Lepisosteus oculatus: one gene and its partners. The protein of the gene in region 3 interacts with the protein of the main gene of each other region in a biochemical or structural test. Links are inferred from orthologs where the notes say so. Each region holds a gene or a part of one and is shown on either strand. Other genes may lie near its edges.

The links.
Region 1: the proteins of erbin (region 3) and abcc4 interact in a test that uses a peptide from one of them, tested with the Homo sapiens proteins (2 studies listed by BioGRID and IntAct). The link is inferred for Lepisosteus oculatus from reciprocal best matches to the Homo sapiens genes ERBIN and ABCC4.
Region 2: the proteins of erbin (region 3) and arvcfb interact in a test that uses a peptide from one of them, tested with the Homo sapiens proteins (3 studies listed by BioGRID and IntAct, with this or other methods). The link is inferred for Lepisosteus oculatus from reciprocal best matches to the Homo sapiens genes ERBIN and ARVCF.

The regions. Positions count from the first base shown.
Region 1 is NC_090710.1:7,172,750-7,181,541, reverse strand, and holds the start of abcc4 (ATP-binding cassette sub-family C member 4), read right to left. Parts: upstream 3,501-8,792; 5' UTR 3,461-3,500; coding exon 3,387-3,460; intron 1-3,386. UniProt on the Homo sapiens protein: ATP-dependent transporter of the ATP-binding cassette (ABC) family that actively extrudes physiological compounds and xenobiotics from cells.
Region 2 is NC_090717.1:2,959,655-2,967,532, forward strand, and holds the start of arvcfb (ARVCF delta catenin family member b), read right to left. Parts: upstream 3,501-7,878; 5' UTR 2,666-3,500; intron 1-2,665. UniProt on the Homo sapiens protein: Contributes to the regulation of alternative splicing of pre-mRNAs.
Region 3 is NC_090698.1:27,933,199-27,941,870, reverse strand, and holds the start of erbin (erbin), read right to left. Parts: upstream 3,530-8,672; 5' UTR 3,231-3,529; exon of another isoform or gene 2,929-3,230; intron 2,170-2,928; exon of another isoform or gene 1,930-2,169; intron 1,290-1,929; exon of another isoform or gene 1,268-1,289; intron 1-1,267. UniProt on the Homo sapiens protein: Acts as an adapter for the receptor ERBB2, in epithelia. By binding the unphosphorylated 'Tyr-1248' of receptor ERBB2, it may contribute to stabilize this unphosphorylated state.

The sequences.
Region 1 (8,792 bases), on a different chromosome or scaffold from region 3:
TTTTATTTCATACAAATGGAGCAATTCTTACCTGTCTTTTCATTTAACAAGCAAATGTTCACTCTTACAGGCTAGAGAAGAAATAAAGGATACTTTTTCTCTGTCATCTTCTCAGATGAGGAATTAACTTTTTATTATTTATTATATTAAAACTATTTTATAATAAAGGCTAGTGTATGTTAGGCACATATAGTTCAGGATGTTTATGCATTTGCTGAACATGAACAATGTAACAATGTTAGTACTGTATTGTAAATGATAAATTATAAATTACATCAAGCATAGTTAGTCAAATAATTAACCAGGAGTGTTAGTTTCCATTCTCAAGTACCATTCTGTGCTTTAAGGTGAAGTTAGGGTATTTAAGGGAAACTTTTTTTGAGTTCTACTATCAATTAGAGACGATAACAAAGGAAGTAATGGGAATTTCCATTACATGACTTTTCACCTTACAAGCCGTTTTTGAGGAACAAATTAAGATAGTATAATGAGGGATTACTGCACTCTGCTTATCTACACAAACAAGGTTCATACCATATCACCTTTATGTTTATTACTAGATCTTGCTCTTGGTTTGGTTTTAATTGTGTGCAGAGGAAGGTATAACAAAGTTTTTGGTTCTGCTATTTCTTCCTAATCACATTTCAAGCCAAACTACTAAGTCAAGAGAAAAATTAGACCTGTCATGTTTTTCTCCTTTGTAATGTACATAATCTTTACACAGAGTTTTTACACATTAACATTTGCCCTTTTATACCAGTAGATGGATCATACATGAGCTCCTTGCACATGTTTGTACTAACAGAAATGTGAAGAGAGGAAACAAGGAGGAGGCAGGGCTACGTCTCTTCTACAGTGTCAGCTGCATTTATACAGCCAATATAGTTACAGTATACCACATGTAAACATAAAAGCAGGAGTTTGTCTTCACTTGGTTATGCCACCAGTTATATAACTATAATTTAGACAAATTAAAACAAAGCCATGTCTCAAAATAAAAGACATTCAATTCCAAAGTCACTAGTTTCACTTAAAATGTGAAAATTATCTTTTGTAACTCCTAAAATAGTGCTCTAATCATGCTCCAATATGAAAAATACAGAATGAGAGAAGATAATGGGACAATGGATTCCCTAATACTGTATATGACAAAGTCGTGTGTCCACTCAACAGTTTATTTTTCCTGTTTCACTGGCTAGCAAAGCAGGGTCATCAAATCCTAAATCATGTATAACTGAAGAGTCACAACCTTCAACAAACTACTAACAAGTACTACAAAATTGGAATTACAGGTTTGTAGTAAAACAAGATACAACACAGATGCATCTGTTTTTACAGTACACCGCAACTTCCGACAGAGTGGAACTCATGTAAGAAAGGCAAGGTACTGTACATTTCTGAAAATTAGAGATTAATTTACCAGCCACTAACAATGTGATGTGATGTAGCCACTATCCTACTCCGTTGGGCTCCTGAGCAAGGCCCTTAACCCCAGCTGCTCCAGGGGTGCCGTACACTGGCAGACCCTGCGCTCTGACCCCAGGCTCTCTCCCTGTCTGTGTGTCTCATGGAGACCAAACTGGGGTATGCGAAAAGATCATTCCTAATGCAAAAAATTGTAAAGTGATGTTAATACTACTACTACTACTACTACTACTACTACTACTACAGACCCAATACACAGCTAATCAGGTGGGGAAATCAGAAATAAATTCAACAACTGAATTTAGTGAGAAATTTAGGGAGGCTAAATTGTACAAGCCCGGAGTGAAATTTAGCCACTTCATTTAACATCCCTACTCTTACAGACAATTCCATAAGATCTTTAATAACCAGGTATTCAGGATCTTCATTTGACAGGTTATCTGGGACAATGTCCTCTATAGCAGTGTCCCCTGTCACTATCTTTGTCATGTTTTAGTTTCTGCTAATACCACTAATGTCAGCAAACTGCTTCTATTCTCAAAGTGCTCCAGTTCCAGCACTGACCAGGACCATCTTTCAGAGATCTTAGCCTGAAGATCCTTTGAGATGAGAAGTGTTGTACAAAAGCAAGGAATTATGTTCTCTCTTAAACCGTCAAATACTATTTGGTTATTATCGGCAGATAAAATTAAAATAATACTGGTTATGACAATGGAACAAAGTCTTCTAAAGCTTGTCAGTCATATGGTGCACTTGCATATTTTTACAAGAAAATAGGCAAAACACGCTTCCACCCCGCCTAATAGTGAACAGAGAAATTCACATTGCATAGGAGTTTGATCCATTTCAGGTTTTACAAGCTACTGCATCTTACTATACAGAAACCATGAACCAGGATGTGGATATTTCAAGCTTTTTTTGCCTATTGTGAGAAAAACATGAAGAACACATTACAACTACTAAAAGTTGCATCAGTATAATGGACTTGCAACTCATAAACCAAAGTACAGAGATGACATTCAGAGTGGCTTTCAAATTCCCGCGGTAGTGTATCCTATTACAGCTGGTAAATTCTCGAGTAGTTTTATAGAAGAAGCGTACGTCTTTTAAAAAGTGCTTCACACGATTGACTTTTGATATAAAGAAAAGCAAACGTACAGGTACATCGTAACACTAAATGTGGAATTATTATTTAACACACCACAGTGCTTAGTTAAACGCACATTTTTTAAATAACCTAATATTCGCTATAACGCTGGAGATACATGTCTATTTCTTTAGTTTTCAAAGCATCTAACGAAAATCACGTTTTCGTGGTTTTAAATAACATGACATTAAATGTTATTAAAAGCACCTATTTCATGTTATCAGTGTTATTATTAAGTTACATTCTATAAAGGTAAGGTTCACTGCAAAAGATAGTATTAAAACTCAATGGCAACACAGCAACCTGTGGATCAACCAACGTACATAAGCAACATAAAAAGCAGAAAGAAAGAAACGACCGGCACAGTAATTACATTTATATTTGTAATTAAATATTTACATTACACCAGTTTTTGTTTAATATTATACATATTGCCGTGAGTGCAGACGTACCAAATACTGCAGTGTCACTTGTCACGTGCTCACTGCATATTATTAAGGAAACCCTCTGTTAAGACGATGCTTATACATTTCGATTAAGTTTTTTTTAACCAATTAGCTTTGTAAACTTCTTAATCATACAGTTTTTATATCATTTTAGCTCTTATTTGGTTTTTGTCTCTTTTCAGTGTAGCTGATGTACATTACACGATAAAACCACCGGCTCCAAACCTACAGCTTCCAAAACTAAAAACGGAAACTTCCGTTACAGTAACAAAAAAGCCTCTGTATGGATTTACGGCAACAAAGAAAACCAGAATATAAGAGAAAATACGATTTGTTCTACTTCCTTTCTAGTTTAATCGCCCTCTTACCAGAAAAAAACCTTGGAAAACAGATTAGCTGTGGCCGATGGATTAGGTTTCTCATCTTTCCGCAGAGGTTCCATCGTGCCCTAGCACTTTGCTCAATGTCTGGGCCAAAAGGGAAAGGCTCCTTGTCTGTTTTTTATACCAATGTCTTGTGCAAGATTGTATAACCCCTCTTTTGCACATGGTAATCCAGCTACAACTCTACTGAGTACAGCCTACCCATTTCCAAGACGCGAGACTCACACTGAGACCAGGTTCTGGTTTGCTCCGCCCACGTCTTTCGGATTGGTTTACCAACGCGCCTTGTAATTATAACCGGCAGCACCCCTGATGTCTGTCAAGGTTACTGGATGGTGCAAAGCAAGCAAAATGGCCAATCTAATCTCTGGACTGAACACCAATTGAGAATACATTTTACATGGTTGAACAAAAATGTAAGCCACAATACTTCAGAATTAACAAGACGTCAAAGTGCCTGCAATAAAGCATCTGAATCAGTTACACAAACAGATTGGTAAGCTCATGGGTCTCACACTTCATGCAGTTATTGCCTCAAAGTGATGTGCAATCACATACAGACTTCTAAACTCTAAAAAAATAAAATTAATGATTTCTCTGATTTCTCAGAAATTTGTTCTGCATCCAAGCAGCTATTTCTACAGAGAAACTTATAAAAATGTATGAACAGTACAAATAAACATTACATAAAATAATTCAACCCATCCATAGTCCTTTCTATAGGAATTCACAACTTACAGTACCTGTAAATTTACTCCACCCACAATCACCCTAAGCCTCTATAATTGTCTATTCACTCTTCATTTTGCACATAACCACTTATTGCATTCTTCCATAACCCTTAACCTACACTCATTTGTTGACTGAGTAGTTTTATTGAATATGGGATAAAGGAATTCTTCATTTTGTTAAGTCTGCATTGAGGAACTCTAAAACATCTGTTTGAAGGCATATTGTATGTTAATATTCTTCATGCAGGACATGGAAGCGATCAGAGGAGATCCTAACAGGTCTTCTCCACATACTCTTAATGTAAGCAGTTTGAAGGCTCTGCAAATGGCTGCCTTACTAACATCCTCAAGAGTCTGGTCATCTTGGCTTTATGTTGCACAGAAAGACTATTATACTAGCCAGTTATTCCATTCTGCATGACACTTTGTACCACAAAACTGAAAAACACAGAGTATGACTACTAGCACCAATAGTAACCAAAACCATAACCTGCAAAGAAAGTAAATTCTTTGCTGTACTTTATTACAAAAAAGTCAACATGTACCTTCCAATACAGATTTGCAACTATGTATAGTATACTGTATTCCCAGATATTAATAGGATGTATCCAATGTTTTATTTGTTATGTAATCAAATTTGCTTAATGGAATCATTATAACTTATGACCAGGGAAGGATATCCATTCTGTTTAAGACCAGAGACAATTTCTTCTGTTTTTATAGAATCAATATATTGTTCTGATATATGTTGGAGTCATCATTATCATTCATCTGAGAAAGTAAGGTGGAATCATCAAAAAATGTGTTTAGAAATTGGTTTGAACCACTGGCAACACAATCATTCGTGCAGAAAGTGAAGAGCAGTGGTGAACACATACACCCTTCGAGTGCTCCACAGTCATTTACTTGGAAGAAAGTATACCATTTACAGTACTTTAACTTGCTGCAGTCTTCTTGTAAGGAATGAGTTGTACCAAAAGATCAAATATGGGATGATCTGTAATTGAATCATTTTTGATAATATAATGTCTGGTTGGTTTGTGTTAAAAACTGAAGAAAAGCCGAGAAAAAGTACAGTACTTTAGCAAATAGTTTGCATTTGCCTAGATGCTTTAAAATAAGGTGAATAAAATTAATTATTGCTTCCTCTGTGTTTGCAATTGTTTATAATAATGATATGGATTGAGTTGTCCATTGACTAAGTGAGATTCTGATCCAACATATTTATGGTCATTTTAAATCACTGGGTTGATCACAAAGAACATTTTATTTGTAATGTGATCAAATGTATACATTTACAATAAATACATTTTATTTATTAATTAATTATTTAAAAATAAAATGTATATTGTATTGTACTTACTATTTGTGTTAATTACATGATCACAAACACAAATTGCTTGACTGTTAAGACAAAATAACATAGACGTAATCCCGTTCCATAATTTAATCCCATAGAGATTTTAAAAAATGAAAGATTACCTCAAAAAATGTGTTGTCAAGGTTTAGGAAAGTAATCTGAATCAGCAATGTTTTCCTTATATTACAAATTTAAATGGCTGTGGATTATGCTGTCTTATTATTTTAGCACCAGTGGCATGTTAATTAAATAAAAAGATGCATGTTTCACTGCAGCCTTCTGAAAACCACCCACAGCTATGATTATAGTTTCTCATTCTACCAACTCAGTGATGCCCTGCCCTCTGCTCCCTTTGAGGTTTTTCTTGGCAAGCTGACCAATGACCCAGTTCCATGCATATTAGTGCTGTGAAATGGAAAAAGGCTAGGTCACACTCTTGATGTCTCCTTGCCGGCTGTTTCACAACAGGAGTAGTCAGAAAGGTCTGTTCTGCAGCTGCACATAACAGGGGTGTCTATTTATGCTCACACTATCAGGTGAAAGATTAAGTACTCCTCTTCGCCAAACCAGTAAGAGTAAACCACTGACTTAATCAATAAAAATCCTCCTTCATACTTATTACAACATCAAACGTACCACAAGGGAGAGCACTTTCGCTTAACCGTGTACAATAAACTAGAATTCAAAAAACAAAAAACAAATACAAAAAACTTGAACATGTATCTGCTTTTCACCAAATTCATGCAAAATATATTGATGAGATTGCATTTGAAGCCTTGAGAGATTATGTACTGTATTTGCAGTTCCTGAACTCACGTTAACCCCAAAACAATGTTAATCAAGTGGTCAGGTACATACTGTAGATTCTAATTTTTTAAACATTATAATTTGTCTTTCTTTCCAAAAATAGCATATGGTGACACTGTGCTACAATAAGGAAAAGGGTAGCCTGTTGTGTCAAAAACACTCTGACAGGTCATGCCAAAGGATTCTCTGTGTCTGTATATTCAGTTTGGGCAATGTCCTTGTTTTCTGTCTTCATATCTGAGTGTAGATGCCCAGTTCGGTCAGGGTCAGGAATTTAAATTAATCAGAACCAGAAAGCCTTAAAAAATACATAGATGATAAAATATTGTCTCACACATTCCCTGAGAAAGCTAAAAGCACTGATTTTAAAATAATAAATTCAAAATTGTGAGTATTGTTACTACTATTGATATGTTTTCCTTATAAATACATCTCTCTTATGTTGAAGTGGCTGAAGTTTTCATGTTGCCGTGAAAGATGTCCTCAAGGTTTGGTACCACCTTAGCTTCTGTTTAGGTTGAAAAAACTGACATGCAATATGCTCCACAAACTGAAGAAGGCTATTGAATTGGCAGTTGAGAGGATGAATGACGTAGGAACTTTTTAATCCTTTTTAATTCTATTCTTCTGTGTCACTTGCTTGTTACAAGAGTTTTAGAAGCCTTTAATGCACTTACAGTACAGTACATGCGAGTCACCAACAGCGAATCATCATCAGAATCTATGGATTTAATTTTCCACTGAAGGCAAAGTTTGCAGAATAGCTGACAAAAGCAGGGAACTTACATACTGTACCTAAAAAAACCCAAGCCTCATTTGCCATTGCAGAAATATTTTTAAAATGACAATAGAACACATGCTGTACTGTTGTTAAAAACAGGTTTTTATCTCTTCATTTGAAAATAATAATTAGTTGCCAACATTTCATATTCCTGTATTCATTACCAGATCACATTTAAAGTTAATTAATTCTAGATAGAAAAGTTGAATTTCAGGGGGTTTGATTAATTGCTAATTGATTTTTCTCTTGATACTTTTTCTCACTTACTGTACTTAATCTTGGTTCCAAAGAGCTTTGGAGCATTGCCTGTTCTTTCAATAACTTCTGAACATGAAATGTATCACAGAAGCCTGAAGATTAAATTGCTTGACACTGCTCAAGAATAATGACAAAACAACCTCTTTTAGTATATAAGTATATTGAAAGCAAAGGCTTCCACATAACTTTAGCTGATGTAATAGTTAAGCAAATAACATCCCAGAATGCTTAGTCTTGTATAAAAATGTAGTTTCCAATAATTAAAGCTAGCATTACATGACTCCATGTACTGCATGTACAGTAATTTCATTTTTTTCACTAGCTACCTGTAGATCAAGATTTCACATTTAAATCATGGGATGTTATTTTAAAATGTTCAAAGCACTAGTATGGTCACATTAAGAATATTGTCTATAGTTTTGGGCACCAAGCTAGGATACACGGTATACTTTAAATGGATAGGATTTTAAACAAGGAATATTATGTTAACATTGCACAAAGCATTTCTTTAAAAGTTCACTTTAAAGTCTATAGTTCTCATCAATATTTTTAAACACATGACACCACATGAATTTACAAAATGTTTTCAATTTATTTTAGGGGGATATGACATTTTAAAATAATGCAAAATGATTTTTGCAATTATTTCCTATTTAAATTGTGATTTTATGTAAATATTGACTGTTTAAGAAGAAACTCTTACAAATGACTAATATTTACCATATTATTTTCTGGTAAGTTCGATATTCAATTTTACAGCTTGTCATTTTTATTATTTGGAATATTTCTAATAATAAGATAATGTATTGCTGAAAATGTTACATAATATCACAACTTACCCTCCCTTTTTATGGTTCCTTTTTTTATTCCACATTTTACATATCTTACATCACAGAAAATGAAGCTGGAAAAAAGATCAGTTACACGCAATGCAATTTGTGTAAAGAATTGATTTGTACTTTGCATATTATACAAAGCACAGAACATTTTCTCTGCTTCAACAGTGCTTGAGAATCAAGGAACTTATTCTAAGAACAATGTATGCTGAAGGTCAGAAATATAGCAAGATATGCAGCCTTTCTTTAATAAATAATCTGTTATTTTTCACATCTACATTACCTTCTTCAAACTTTTTCATTTTGGCTCCTGAATCCTTGCGATCACAAATTGTCACAAAGTGGTTTTGTAATTTTTCCTCTGCAAGTTATTTAAAATAAATGCTGCACACACAACTCTTATGTAGAAAAAATGTTTAGGGAGAGCATTCTTTTCCTTTTTTCTGAATCATTTAAAGTATATAGCTTCATTGATTGAAAAACATTTTAACTGTTTAAAAATAGTTTAAAAAGCTACTGGTACATTGGAAAAAAGCAATACAACACTGTTAATTGTAGCTTTCAATAACATAAATCTGAAAAAATGTGTACCTAATTTTTACACAGGATGAATAAAAC
Region 2 (7,878 bases), on a different chromosome or scaffold from region 3:
TCACACAGACTCCAGTTTTTTCATCCACTCTGCTGCTACTGTAGCTCAAGCCCGACAGTCAAAGCACCAAGAATGAAATGAGGATGAGGAAGGAAAGGGGAAAATTCAGGCATGAGCCCGGAAGTTTTATTGGTACACAGTACCAGGTCTCTCCGGCAACTAACTCAAAATTGACAAATAATAATAATAATAAAAATAATAACTGCTTACACTTATATAGCGCTTTTCTGGACACTCCACTCAAAGTGCTTTACAGGTAATGGGAATCCGCTCCACCACCACCAGTGTGCAGCACTGGTAAAGGCCAATGGGAAATTTGGCCAGGATGCTGGGGTAACACCCCTACTCTTTTCGAGAAAAGCCCTGGGATATCTAATGACCACAGATCACGTGACATGGACACACACAAGTCAACTGCACATTTAGAGACATCGATTAGCCTGATCTGCACGTCTTCAGAACAAAAGCAGAAGTCGAAGCACCCAGGGAGCACTGATGTGGGGGGGGGGGGGACATGCAAACTCCACACGGAACATTCCATGATCCAGAATTTAACCCAGGAACCCTAGAGCAGCGCAGGTTACTATGCCACCCATTTCCAAAACAATCGCACCAAAATATATTTCATTGCACATGAGATGAGAGCCACACACATGCCCTTAAAGAAAAACAGCATTTCTTCAGCAAGCGTTACCAACTATAGCTGCTGAATAAGAGCCCCAGCAGTTCTAAGCCACTGTTGGCGTGTCAGCGTTTCGTGGATACACCACTGCTGAAAACTAAAGAGCAACGCCTCAATTAATCTTGCAAATAAAGAGGTTTGGATTTTGATTTTATCACTACCAAAAACACAAATACCTTTCTCAACAAGCTGACATGCTAAAATAAAAACGCCAAATGTTACATAAGGCACAACCTCAGACTGAAATAAATACCTCAGTATTCTCGGACGTGTAAAACCGTCTTGCCTTTGGCTCACTAATACACCAAGATCCCTCATAAGGTCGCTGGATAGTATTACTGATAATGACTCCAAGTGCAAGACAGAAGGAGCTGTATATAAAGCAATAAAGTATTCCTTATTTTAAAAGTCTTGTTTTCTACGCTTTTAAAATTTAGATTTGTGAAGTGGTGGGTACCATCATACCGTTCATCCACACGTGGGCGGAGCAGAATTCAGCGTTTGACCGTGTCACTGGATTCAATAGCTATTTTTATTCATTCATGCTATATGGTTATCTATATTGACCTTCTAGAGTATCTATTTTTTCACCCACCAGTCATGTCATCTGAATTCAACACCCTGCCTGCCGTCAGAGCAAGCGATGAGCCTGCAATTAGCTCCTCTTTCGAAATTTAGAGTGGGACTATTAAGTGAAGGATTTTTAACTTCAAATCCAGGTTCCATCACATCGTGCATTAACGACATTTTATTAAAATCTCTCAAATAAAATCTGGGATAGGGGGAAAAAAGGCGTTTCAGCATTTTGGCTGCTTGCGAAATACTGTAAAAAGAGATTTCGATTTCGTAGAACATCCACACTCGCATCTGAGCACGACTGAAGTCGAACTTCAGACAAAGCCCTTTAACAGTTCAGCCACATCTAGTCAAGTGATATTAAAGGACAAAATACATTTCGTTCCAAAATCGTAACGAGGGACCCAAATCATACGGGTTCAATTATGTTCTGTAAATGACAAAACGTTACATTTACGCGTTTTAAAACCCGCTGTTCTAACGGTTTATTGCATCAAATCTGGAAGGTTCTTAAGTGGCTCAGATCCTCCTGTTCAGTTACTTTGAGAAAACTTACTTTTTTGTCCCCTGATAACTTCTAAAAAAACTTATTTTCAGGACATTCCAGTACCAGCGTCCCACCCTCAGATTCCCAATTGTTGCACCAAATGCATTTCAGGTCGCTACAGAGAAACGAGAACCAGTGAGATTGAAGCAGAAAGTAAATTTGCTGCAAAACACAACCGGACGGACCCCCTGTGAATAATTATTATGAGTGCAATTCCCTAAAGCCCCAGACCCCCTGGGGTTCAAGCAAAGCGTGCAACCGCAAGCACAGATAACGAGGGCCGCTCAGGTATCTTCATAACCACTCAAGAAGGGCTTTTGGAAAGAGAAAATAAATGCCATTTGCCTCTTCCAGAAAACATTTCACGGGAAACGAATGGGCAAGATTCTAGGGTTCAGCTCACGACGTTTACAGCAGCTGTTTTAGTGCACAGTTTCGTTTTTACCAAGCAGGTGGTTTTACTAGTAACAATGTTAACATTCCACTGTTGTGTTTACCTTATGCATGAGTGCGTTTCCAAAACTAAACTACTGCTCAGCGAAAGCAAAAGAAGTCGCTATGAGACCTGCTGCAGCGGCATGTTTCATACACTGTATCCATCACCACCTACAAAACAAACATATTATTTCCCCCAAAGTGGGCAACAGATCGGTCCCCGCATCCCTTGGCCGAAACCTTCCAAATAAACACGACAATCGGAAAGCATTTCGACTGTCAACATAACAAGAAAAGGTGGTTGTTTATTTTTTACTCTGCATGTTTCGGTCTCGAATTCCCCGCATTCTTAATACGAACATTCCCCCCATATCATCACCGTACAAAGAGGCGATTGCATTTTTAAAATTTGGGGATATTCCTACCTCCTCTCTCGGTTCGGAGTTTTCCAAGCACGTAGACGGCGGGGTGTATTCGAATCGGATCAGTAGATGGATCCCTTTTTGTTGGCAGGCTCACTTCGCCCCAAAACACGGTGTTTTTTTTATATAAAAATAACACCTCACACACGATAACCGAGCGCACTGCTCGGCATTCACCACTTGGATCGGGAAAAGACTCCTTGGAGCAAATAGCCCACCGGAGCTAATCTGGAAATGCGCAAACGGGTGCACTTCGCTCAACTTCTAAAGCAAAAAAAAAGAAAACTAACAATCCCGTTCGAAAAACAATGGCTCACTAAAATTGGCTCACTATCCGACACTTTAAGAGTGTCGGATATGTCATAAATCCAGTGGAAATTAAATCTAAAGCCTTGCTCCTGAATAAACACGTTTTTTTCGATGCAGTTTAAGCGACTGCCTTCAAAAATAAAATAAAAAATCACGCGGGTCCTTTACAGGTAGTTTTTTTGTCTTTGATAATGTCTGCAAGCTTTAATAATTACATTGATTGCAGGCGTGCCGACATCTAATGCAAAATCAAAGGTCCTCTTCCTTCGGCTTTTATTTATTTTTGCGATAGTAACAGATAGAGATTGATCTCTAATCAGGTGTCTTTCTGCCTCCTCCCCCTCCTCCGTCAGCTGCTTAAAAAATATCCCCAAAAGGTAAGTGGTCCTAGTGAATCCTAACACGCTGATTGTAGCCTTCCAATAGAAAAGATTGATGGGGTTGCAAGAAGAATAACAGTCAGGACCGTGTAATTCCCTTTCTCTCCCCCCCGTCCACTACAACACCCCCATATAAAAACACTAAACTGACAGACCAGCACACACACCCCCCCCCTGCGCAGTCCGCGACACAGCCAGCAAACCAAAACTACATGAAGAGCAGAGCCCGCCCCTTACCCCCGCCTGCCTTCGAGGAACAAGACCCTGATATCGCCCTCTATTGGCTGATCTGTGCTGTCACTCCGACGCGCTCGGCCGCTTCTCGCGTTGTCATTGGCGGCAGCTGCTGTCACTTTCCCGACACGTCGCTGTTGTCGAAGCTCCGCACCTGCTGCTGCAGAAACTAAAAGATGTTTGAGGGAAATAAAAGGGCTTCGGAAATCCGTCTAATCAAAATGGGTTTTTGAAACATGATTATAACGTATCATCATTTTCCTGCGTGTGATAAAAAGGCTTGCACTGATCTTATTTTTAATACATGTTTTGTAGTCTCTCATTATCATTGATCCTGGATTGAAGCAGGATTATTATTTTAAACTATTCGGGTACTGTCAAAAATCCAGTTTTGTTTCAGAACTCAGAAACAGTCCTTGCAATTTGGATATCATTCACTTGTTTTGAGGAAAATTATGGGTCAGATGTCTCTATTTGTATTTGATTCAGCGGAAAATACTTTATTTGTATGGCCGATTGTTTAAAGCGTTGTCAGATCACATTTAGATATTTAGGCACCATGCGCCATCTCCGCTCTGAAATTAAGCAACGGATTTCAAAAGGTGGTACATGAAATAAAGATTCAGGTGGGTAGCTGCGTCAGCATGCGTAGGCTGCAAAGGAACAAGTAATAGGTTTATTCCATGCTGAAAAAAAGAAGAAAGAGAACACAACGTTTCGGCCGTGGAGCCTTCTTCAGGTGTGAGCAAAAAATAAAGATTGTTATTAGCGGCTTCTCAATTAATCATTGATCAGCAAAAAAAACCGAGGGGCGGGACAAACAGAGTGAGGTCATAACCCCTCCATACGCAGCCAATCAGAGCGCGCGTTGCTGCTGTGTCCTCCCAAAACAAAACGGTAACTTGTGGGATTTAACTTCTTGTGTTGATCATTGCCAGCAATCGGATCTGTGAGTAACAAAATACGGGTTGAAAGCGAATTATTTAATGAGCAAGAAAATAAATCCTGACTGTGAGCAAAAACAAAAAAAAGGCAGGAAGTTAAAACTGCATTCTGCGGTGACCCTCCAGGGAGGTGGTGGTTTCGTTATCTGTTTAACAATTAAGGGAAATAGAAATAAAAAAAAACATGATCTACTGTACAGTAGCTCCAGATATGTTTACCTCCCTGGAACTACCTGAAGCAGACTATTGCCAATAGTGCAAGGCGACGGAGAAGCTATGAAGGATTGACTTTTGCTTTTGTGTTGAAGACAGACAATTCTATTTTCATCTTAACAGTGTCAAAAATTGTTCTGAAAAAAAAAATAGGACGAGGTAATAAACCATAATAGTGTTTGCTACCTTGTCTGTGAAGCAGTTAGAAAAAGTCGGCTGTTTTCCAAGCGCTTGAAACTGGTACAGAGTACTGCGATATAATACGACTGTGAGCGTGGTTTTAAACTTGCGAGGCGTGACTGATGCTTATCCCCTATGGTTAATAATGCATATCCCCTGTCAAAACGGTAGGGAAAGGTAGTTTCGCCATTAGCTAGATGAAAACAGATATCACATAAATTTCAATACAGAAGCTTAAAGACGTTATTTGCAAAGAGTTTATGATTTCTGATGATGATCCAGTATGATCAATTCTGTGTACCTAGTACGCTACATCTCGGGCACAAGTCAGAAGAAACAGGTGTGCGACGTGTTTTAGATGGGTAAGTTAGAAATACGTAACTCAATTATTTAAAGCGCAGTGCAGTTATAGCGAATCTGTTAGCATATATGCCAGTTAGCACACTGTGATTATATGCCGTTTTAATTGCAGTAATTCAGAACATAGTAGTAAGATAATTGTCAAGTGTAGGCGTCGCTTTTCAAAACCAAATAGTGTGATTTATGAGAAACCCCATAAAAACCGTGCTTGCGAGGTCAGTCATAACCGTGCGTATCACTCACTTGACGGAATCTACAGTATGCTGTACATGCAAGGCCATATGTTCGCAGGAGGCTGGTTTTCCTCCCTATATAATATTCTCACAAAGTTTTTCCAACACATGAGGGGTTATAATCTTCAATTCCTCATCACGGGTAGCCTGCTGTCAGCTAGTTACATAACACACCAGTTCCCACTTTGTTACTCGGTTATTTCGAGTTACCTCACCTGCTAAAGCGTACAAGTAGAATATAACTTGAAATCTGCAACTGTTTGGAGGAAGTGAAAATAATCGAAATGGCTTGATTAATTAAGCCAGTCGATCTGACTGTTTTTTTATTTATGGACGAATAGACTCTATTCTGAAGAGAGCAGGGGAAAGGGCAGAGTTTTGTAATTCCTGCATTCTTTGTATGTTCTTCAGATTTTTGTTTTCAAATATGCTGTTTTATAACTAGACTAAATGTCAGATTCCTTATGTGACCAATAGAATTGCACACACTAACAAAGTACACTCAGTGAAAAGGAAAGCACTCATTGTGAAATGTTTGTCATCATCTGCAGGGGGAGTGAGTGAAGAATTATCTGACAAAAAGTGATATATGTAGAATCCAATGTTTTGGCATGCTGTGCTTGTAAATTATTATTAAAATAAGAAGAAATTGGCTGAAATGCTGGAAATTGTTATTTGCTCATAACTGAAAAGCTATGTGACCTAATGTCTTTGTTTAAAGCCCTCCAGGCAGCCCTGTATCTGTTCTATCTGTGGAATACATTGTGGATTTCATTGGCTCATCACTCAGTCAAGAATTTGTTTAAGATCTAACCTTGACAGGGAACATATCTGTATATTTGCATTGTACTTCAAATGAAAGGCAATCAGACCTGTTGAATGCAATCTGACTCTCCTTATTTAGAATTTTAGGATCTGAAAAGTACCTAATCCGTTCATAAGAAAGACTCAACAGGTTTTGATTTTCTTCTTTAAATTTCCCAAAAAAAGGTCATTTTACTCTGGTGCATTGCCAGAAAGAGGTTAACTTGAGTCGTCGAACTCTTTGTAGTTATCCATCAGATTTAAAAAAAACACAGATTCTTTTTTCTCCCTGCTGTCTTCCTTTATTTTTCGTATAAATTGAGTCTTTTTCCTAATGAAATGGTCTGAAAGTACCGTTGGTTCAAACTGCTGACCACAGAGAGCAAGAGATTACAGAATTGTCTATTATGCAATGCATTCTACATTCTAGAAGCCTATTGTCGATGAGATGGAACACAGCTGCCACAAATGGCTTGGTTCTTTTTAATAGGAAATGTAGAATTTGAAGTGCAAAGCCTTTTATTTGGTCTTTTACAGCGCTGAATCTGTAGTGACCCATATAATGTGGCTTTCATCTCGGGGTGAAATGCTCTTTAAAGTAAAACAAAAACTAAGACAAGTTGGATCTGCTTTTACATCTTCTTTCAAATCTACTGCTTAACACTTTTTAGCAGTTCATTTTATTTCTGTTGATCTGGATTTACTCCTATTTGGTAAATTCCCTGTTTTTGACTTGTTGCGTCTCAGGCTTTTTAAAAAAAAATACCACTGTACATAATTGCGCATGACTAAATATCCATCTGTTTTTTTTTTCCCCAAGAACCAAATCATTTGTCCTTGTTTTGACCTCCAGTGTTGGCTTCTGATGCAAAGCATAGGGGTTTATAATCTTAAGCCTTTCTTGACGTTGGTTGATGACCGGGATTTTGGAAAGCCTTGCAAAGGTAGCTGTGATGCCGCATCCAGCACTTTTGTTGAACTGAAAGTCGCAAAAAAAATCAGGAGCTCAAGATGAAAGAAGAGGGGTCCCAAGTGCATTTAATTGCTTCTTTTTATCACCGAAAAAAGTAGCTTGCATCAGTGTGTGCATCCAGTTTTAATTCTGATTTGGTTCGCACTATATTTAAGGTCACTTCTGAGGAGCGCAGTGAAGGCACCCCTCCTGGTGCAGCTTGAGCACGTGTGCCCCTGGGTGATCAGACATAGCGCTACAGAAGCCCTCCCATCACCTTTGTCACAGGGCTGTCTAACACAGCCGGCAGTTCAATCTGTCACCGGAATCTCTTTCCCCTGTGTAATAAGCTTGTCTGACATTGCCCTCTCTGTCCTGAAGCAGACACAGAACATCCGATTCAGCCTCCATTGCTCCCAGCCCCGCTTAATTCTGGGGCGCGGATAAAACTCCTAATTGACACAGTGGTTGGGTCCGTTTCAGCTTTTAAGAGCTTGTAGGCTCTTGTACAGTGCGTGCTGCTGGAGCAGGAAGGTAATGTGGTTAATTTCATTTAAATTGCCTGTGACGGCCTCTGTGCATTTGCTCAAAATAAGGTAGTAGGCTT
Region 3 (8,672 bases):
CCTTTAATCACCAGTTACAGACCCCGATTATGACAGACCTGCCCTCTAGTTCCAGAATTTAGAGGCTGGTTTCAAAAACACTGTAAAGTACATTATTTCCACCAACACTAGCACACAGACTTTTACGTGGTTTCTCCTCAACATGTGAATTATGAATTTTCTGACTAAATGGCACTTAACTGGCTATCAATTGATGACAGAGGATTAAGGATGAAGCTGTATCGGACAACTGCCTCAGGGAGACTCCACTCCTTCTTTCTGCTTGAGCGTGACTGGTTAGATTTCGTCTTGCACACCTGAGCGCTGCCCTGAGACGCACCAATTAGCACAGGGTTTATGTAATGTCATTTACCAAACCTCTTTATACCTTACAGTGTCGCGGGAAGCCGGAGCCTACCTGGAAAACAACGAGCACAAGGCAGGGTACAACCTAGACGGGGTGCCAGTCCACCGCAGGGCAAGTGCAAGTCAATCATACATGTGGACAATTTTGAGGCTGTTGAAAGGCCGCTGGTCTCACTAACACCACTTCCAGCAGCAACCACAGCTTCCCAGGAGGTCTCCCATCCAAGTACTGACCAGGCTCAACCCTGCTTGGCTTCACAGGGTGATATGGCTGCTGGCTTGCACAGGGTTTATACCGATTACAAATCTCACAAATCACTAGGGGTACCCAAGAGTCCAGTTAAAAAAAAAAACAGCAAACGAAGGAGGTAATTCCTAGACCAGGACTGACAGCTGGGAGCAGCAGACACTGAGTGTGTGTAGTCCCCCACCACCAACACCAGTCCATCACAGAGCGCACACACACACACTTTACTTAACTATGCAAATTAATCAGCATGTAATGACATGGGAAGAAAATGCACACTCCACACAGAAAGAGCCCCAGGCCAGAATTCAACCCTAATCCAAAGAGCTTTGACATAGAACTCTAACCACTACACCACTGCAGTGCCCACAAGAACAAGTCTTCATTTAAGAATCATCCCAGTGACCGAGTCTCCTTCTCAAACAAAACATTAATTTGACCTTTTTTTTTTTACTATGCAAAAAGAGTTTAAGAAGACTTAAGCATACTGGAAAAATAACCGTCACGTTACATATAAATGCATTAAGAACTGTTTTTTTATTTTCTCTTTTATTACTAATTACTATTATAATTACTAATCTACACTGAGAAAAATAATGAAACCATTTCGTGGCCTAATGTTCCCTATATTCCACCTGTGACGGTGAAAAGAGGAAAGGCAGACCAACTACTCACACCAACACCTGTGTCAACGAGTTTAGCAGATTCTTTCCGTCTCCGCTGCAAGGTTACACCAAATTCAAGGGAAGCCGGTTATACCTGTGCACATACCAAGGAAAATAACTAGATCTTATCCAAATGGCGAAAAAACATCAATAAGATGTTAAAGAGCTTCCATTTTGATCCACGTCTATAGTGTAATCACTGTCCTCTAATAAAAACAGCGTCCGCAGGGCTTTGTAAATCTTTAACGACTCGGCTTTTTTGCATTCAATGAACTAGCACTAGTTTAAACCATCTACATCATTTTTTTAAATTTAAATATGCTCCAAAGCAAAACAAATTGGCCATATAACCAATGGCTAACTGGTTCACCATCCTAGGTTGCTCATCGTATTTTTTTTTATTGTTGCTACCTGTCTTGACGCACTAAATCCTGTTCCAGCATGATTAACAGGGGGAAGATAGTTTTACTGAGGTTTTCAATACAATTTCGCAAAGCTGGTAAATCGAAATTTTAAAAAAATGTACGAAACTAAAACCACAGAGGATCAGATTAGCAAAAAAAACAACAACATCAGGTTTATAAACCAATCAATATAAAATGTTTTTATCTATGTTAAATTTAGTTCGACAATCAAAAGCATATTGATCGATTTCAGTTCCTTCTTATTTACCGTTTTAAGTAAGACAACGGATGGGATGTTTTTATGCCCCTCGAGTCGTACAGTAGATTTCCTCCTTTGCATCCCATAAGATCAAATACAGGAGGTCGCACAGTTAACACCAAATCCCTAGCCTAATCTTATTAAAACGTGAAAATATCGAAAGTAATCCTTTCAGCTCTCATCAGACAGACGTATCTGAACAAAACACAAGGTTTACCTGGCAAAATTATTCTACACAGGAAGTGATGCCAACTTAAATGGCATTGGTGCTCTGTAAATTTCCGCATATTTCTCCAACAAAACATTAAGACCAGAAAGGAAGGGGTTACTCAAAACGTACTCTTACGGCGTAAATCGTAATTTAACAGAGTAAAATTACAGCAGTACTGTATTATGCAAATTATATATATACCCATTAATATATCTGACAGCTCCTGTGGCTGTGGCTTTGTTTCGTTCTACCAATAGAGGCGAGCAAACCGAGACAAATAAAACCATACAGAATTACCCTTCTAATTACACAGACTCCAAAAACACGAAAATACTAGTAGAAATTAATAAAATCCAAAGATCTACCTCACTTTCACGTGTTTATTATAGAGACGCATCTGATACTACATTTGGGATGCGCTAGTAATACTAGTAGTATTAAACAAAGGGGGTTTACAGTAAATACACTGATGATTAAAAATCCCCCGTGGAAAGCATCCAGACAGCGGTCACATCAGATTCAGTCCAGAGTCTCTGGAGTTAAACAATAGCTCCTCTGTTCCAGTCTGCCCCCTTTAAAACCTCCAGTGGCTGCGGATTCCAGCTCAAGTTTACCACCACCATTTCACACACCAGCCAACGACATTACTGGGGTGGGCGGAAACAGGGTTAAAATGATCCTTAACCCTTTCCGAGTTTTCCGAGGTCAAATGATATCTAGATCAAACTTTGTTGTTTTTTCCCCCCATCTTCTAAGTGTTTTTGATTAAAACAAACTCAGCGGTACACATATGTTACCTTAAACGTCAGGTTTCCAGACACCTTCTTTCATTGAAATTGCAGCTCCGAAAGTGTTTTAAATCCACTGTTTTGTTTACTTTGGTGCAAATCGTCTTAGGCGAGATAGCTTAAAAACCTCTACTGCATCCATCCACTCATATGACATTAAAGCTCTCAAAACACTGATCACATTGACTGTGCTTCTTCTCCAAGTGCAGTGTTCTCGCCAAAAGTTGTCTTTCGTGTACTTTAGGTTTTTTTTTGCTTCGGGGAAGTAACTTCCTGTTAGCAGGGTAGCACAAAAAAATAAAATTACTTACATCCTTAATTGAAAAAACTTTAGTAGTTCAAGCCTGACAATCAGAAAGAAAAAATCAAAATGTCCACAAAGCGCAAGTATACAAAAGGCGAAAAAATGTCCACCGCTCAGCGCAGCTCCAGAAGACGAGTATTTCTCCTTTTTTCAACCCCAAGCTTGAACACAAATCCTGTTAAGCCTTTTTTTCTGAAAAGGGGACGCCGCACCCATATGCATTCAAATCTGACACCCCCGCCAACTTCTCATTAATGTGAAAAGGCTACATGTACAAACAGATTCGCCACAAATTCACGCACAAACACGGGGAGAGCTAGCAAGCAAGCAGCACAACTTGCACTCCGGTACGGCGTAATTCATGCTCTGGCAGCGATCAAGTCCCAGCCAGCCGAGCACAGCAACAGCCCAGCAACACAGACCAGACGCCTAGGTAAGTCTGATTGGGGCTGATTGGTTTCAGTCTGACTTCGAGATCAGGTAACATAGTGACGGGCAGTACAGTACAACCAATGCTAGCTGCATATCTACCATGTATAAAGCAAGACCGCCAATACCCAGTGTGGAGGCGGGACCCCCAAAACACACAGCATGTTTGGTTGTTTTCCTCCTTTTCAGTTGCTGTAAGAATGAAATCAAAAGTTAGAAATGTCAGCAGGAACTGACTAATTGTGTCGCCTAACAGCGTGTTAAGCTTTGTTTTGATTTTGGGCATCCTTACTTTATTTCCTTATGTCAAAATAATGAAATAGTTAAATTTTCTTTAAAAACATGTTGTGCAATCCAAATAAAACGATATACGACTGTGAAACAGTAGCGTGTGTTATCCGAGGCACTGCTGGTGTATGTTTTGTGCACACCAGTTTTTCCAAACGAAATGTGAATAAAAATCACACGGCAAAACACCTGCATCTACTTTGCAACAGGATGACTTTAATCAAGTCAATCGACCAGAATCCAACTAAACACGATGATGCCCATCTACATCTTCTGTCTTGGACTAGTTAATCATGTAGGGTCTGATGTATTCATTCCACTTTATGGCCTGATTCATTCCACTTTATGGGCTTTTCAAATCTGAAAATTTCGGCTCCACAGCCGAAACGTGTTTTCTTACTTCTCTTTTCAGCATAGAATAAACCTATTACTTGTTCCTTTGCAGCCTACGCATGCTGGCGCAACTACCCACCTGAACTAAGAATAAATAGGTTGCGGATTTCAATGGTGCTGGTGGACAAGCAGGTTTCTCTCATCCCTCTATTGAGAGTTTCAACAAAATGGCAACAGTAGGGAGCTGTAAGACGTGAATCCTAACTGTTGTTAAAGTGTTTCTGACTACTTGGTCATTAAAAATCCCATGGCACCATTGTTTTATTTTAAAACAAACGCAAAACTATTGTAATAAATTATTTACGGCGCAGCTCATTATTCCCATAATTTATTACTATTTTTAAAACGAAGAATTTTGATGTTTAACCTAAGTCTCTCAAAGAGCGATGTGTGGAAAATAGTCAGGACATGTATATACAGCCACTAGTGGGCGATAAACTCCTAGCAGCTGCAATTCGTTTTAATAAAATACATGTACGTGCCTATAAAATAAATAAACGATTCAATTAGTATCAGATGTCTATTGCATTCCTCTCTGATGATGATTATTATTATTATTATTATTATTATTATTATTATTATTATTAAAAACAGTCAAGCGATACATCAGTATCCTTCAAGAGTCATTAGATTTAACGTAGTCTGGTTTCATAGTTTGAGTCTGGCCCTTCTTTAATCGAGTTCTCCCTGTCTCCCAACCTCTGACAGAAACGACGTCGATCCGAAAGGTGCGCAATTATCGGAGATTTTGGTTGCAAAGATTATTTCTTTTGGGAGAGAAGGAGAAATATGAAAGGGGTTATCACGCGTTTTGGCTTGACAAATAAATGCCCAACAGATGGGAACGAGATCGGTGTACCCCAAAACTTGGAGACGGGAGGCATACGGTGCAAAGATCCCAAGAAATATATGCACTCATTCCTTGTTAAACTATTTTACTTTAGAGTACTCGCTAAAACAAGTGGTACACAGACCCGTTTTTGTTGTGCGAGTTAAACGTCTTATTCTTAGAATAGCATGTTTATTCTTGGCTGCTCTTAACAGAAATTGTAATGCCTTATACCATATATGGTGTAGGATAATATTTCTAATGTATAATTTGTAAATAATATCGGTTCACAAACTCTAACATGCTATAGAACTAAATTATTTGTTTTGATTATTCCCCCTATGCGTGCACGGTGTCTATCACCAGACAGCTTGATGTCTTAATAATAAAATTAAGAGTTTTATTCTTTGTACAAGGTATAACTAACAGTTATTTTGTTCATATCGTATTGTTCATTTGTGCTATATAGGTCATGCAAATCTTCCTTCCACATAATTGCTTCCTAATATTAAACATAACAGCTTGCATAAAAAGTGTTGGTAAATTATTCCCGTTGTAATGTACTTGGCAGTTTATGGTTCGAAAATACAAACAGCAGGAAAATACCAAGACACGTCGGTTCGTTTTCTGATAGGAGCACTAGAAATGAATCGAAGACTTGAACCCCCATTTTATTTTAATGGTAATTGTCACTTACGCGTTTCCATTTACGAGCTGACATTTTTGGTCCTAATGGCAACAGCGAGGGATGTGTGTAATACTAGTTCTGGTTGCAAAATGGGAATTCCCGGGCGTTTGTTTAGAGGAAAAACTTTATTGGATTTTTACTTAATCCTGGAAAATACGTCAATATTTGTAAAACCCTCCGATTTCTATACATGCAGTAAACTGTCCGGTCTCGGAGAGACACGTTAGTCTTAACTGCTCCATAAAGTGCCAGGAACTCCGGTTCTTTTTTAAGCTGTTTCTGTTCTGATCTTTCCCTAGTGTCTCCGTTTTCATTCGAAGATAAACAGTTTACATTAAAGTTTTCCAATAAATCTCTTGTATGGGTCTAAATGACACTGGCGGCTCAACCAGTAAAGACCCGTTTAGAATGCAGATTGACTTTTGTGGCTCAGATATTGCTGGGGTGAAGCTCAGTCATCTTGGAGACAGTGCTTCTCTGGGGAATTGTGCACAATTAAGATTACTAGTGGAGTGTGGGGTGTTGCCCAGACTGCAGTGACAATCCTAAATAATTGGGGTATTCTGGGTATACTAAACAACTGCTTTCTTTTTTTAATAGAATTTAACAGAACAACATGTATTGTCTCTTAAGATATTTAGGTATTGGATCCCTCGTTCTGCCTTTGAAAAGGCCACTGAGCTCTGAGACCGGGTCATGTCGGAAGGAGACTGAACCAGGATACCCCAAGTGGGTGCACAGATGGATGTGCCCCTCCTCCAGTTTGCACTGATCAGTAAGCATTAACCGAATGGCTCGGATGTATCTACCTACACTTCCTTAGTCTTCCCTGTGTGCAGTTGTGTGGATAGGAGCTACAAGCCTATCCATGGGAAAAGCCCTTGGCTAATCTAAATTGAGTTGATGCAATGCTGATTCTAATTTTTTTTTAAATGCCAGTATTTATTTAAAACCTATGACATGTCCTTACTCTTACAAATAAATAGTTAACATTTTCCACAATGTTGTTAAAATAAAGAAGATTGCTTTCCCATCTATGATTACTGTGTCACGATCGTAAGTCCCTCCTCTTAAGGGCTCTTCGGCTCTTTTTTGTTTCTGTTGATTTTTTGCACCTGCCTCCTATTCCAGCTCCTCCCTTTAAAAGCCAGACGCTCCTACCAGTCTGGGCTCAACTTTGGAAGATGGACTCCCGGAAGCCCGCCTACCAGCAGGTCCAGGAGTGGCCCAACAGCATAGGCTTCGCAGCGGTGTCCTGACCATCTGGGTCCGGGGCCTGGAGCGCCTGGACCCGTTACCCCTTTCTATTTCCCTGTCCCTTCACCGGATCCCGCTCCGGTTTTTAACTTTTGTCGTGTCTTTCATGGATGGATCACCCAGCTCACTCTGGATTACTCTTCGGACTCCCCTTGGACTTTCGCCTGAACCACGTCCCCCGAGCACCAGTGCACCGTCGACGCGCCCCCCCAGTTCATCTACCAGCCCCGTTCCTAGTCCTCTCTCCCCCATGTTTGTTTCACTCCCTTCCGGATTCTATCGTCTGCGTAGGGTGTTGATTAGCTCTTTGTGACATATTGTACACTGTGCAATCCATTCCTTAGGGTAGTCTTCAGCTTTGAGTTTATTTAGGACTAAATTGCAAAGCAGTTCTGCATCTCTATGTCAGTGGGTACTAACTGCCCCCCTAACTATTCCTAAATGAGTGGAAGGTGCTGTAGTATGTGCCAGTCAGCACATAGTGGAAATGGGTTTGTTTGCCAGTTGTGACCCCTTTGGAGTACCGTTTGTGTTTAAACGTCAGATAAACTCATTTACATGAACCCAGTGCCCCTAACTATAATGCCTAATTTACCACTTTAATTACAAAACAATAATGTTTTTAGATGTTTATCACTCACTTATGACATGCCAAAAATGTCTGGTTTGAAAACACGTGTATCCAGTGCCAGATTACCCATTAGGCACAGTGCCTAGGGCCTACAAAGGAGGAAGACCCTAGTGACTAGCGAAAAACAAGCTGAAACAACATGCTTGCGACCGACTATAGGTGCTCCAAATTAATAATCATATGCTATCTAGCTGCTGTTCTAGAAACTAGAAGTATAGAAGGGATGGTCGCTCGACTTGCTCAACTCGCTCAATCATGAGGTTTAGCATTAGAAAAGTTTAAAGTGCATCATGTCAATCAACGTAATTCAATTGGCATTTACTGTACCCCTCCTTTTGCACATTTCAGAGCAAAAGTGCCTGGGGCATACGAACACCAAAATCCTGCTCTGCTTGTATCACTATCCTTTGTCAAAGAGGCAACAAAGGAAAAATGAGGATGAAGTAAGATGAGCTGTTTGGCTTACACAGTACAGATGTGTGGTTTGGACCACGGATTGTGACCTGTTGACGAACATTCACTACTGGTTTATGAGACAGCTGGGTGTGGTTTCCCTATGTGGCATCGCACAGTTGGCCAAGAGGGGAGTGTACAAGCTGCAGGCCTTGCTGATAGCTGAGATCTTGCAGCTCTTGCTGACTACATCTCATTGTCACTCTGCCATTTGACACGAGTTGCTGCAGACTGCAACTGGAGCAGCATGAAAAATGACAGCTGGCTCAGTGGTACACATTGTGGAGGAACGTGTGCATAGACCTCACCATGTCTCCTTATTGGCGCAAGGGTTGCAGTACTGAGCTAATTGTCATTCTAGATTTGAGCTATTAAAATCAAACTCAGTACAATATTTGTGATTTATTAAACTTTCAAATAGGTCTCTTTATTTCACAGAAACAGCTCATTTATTGGCATAGGATATTTTTCTCCCAAGAAT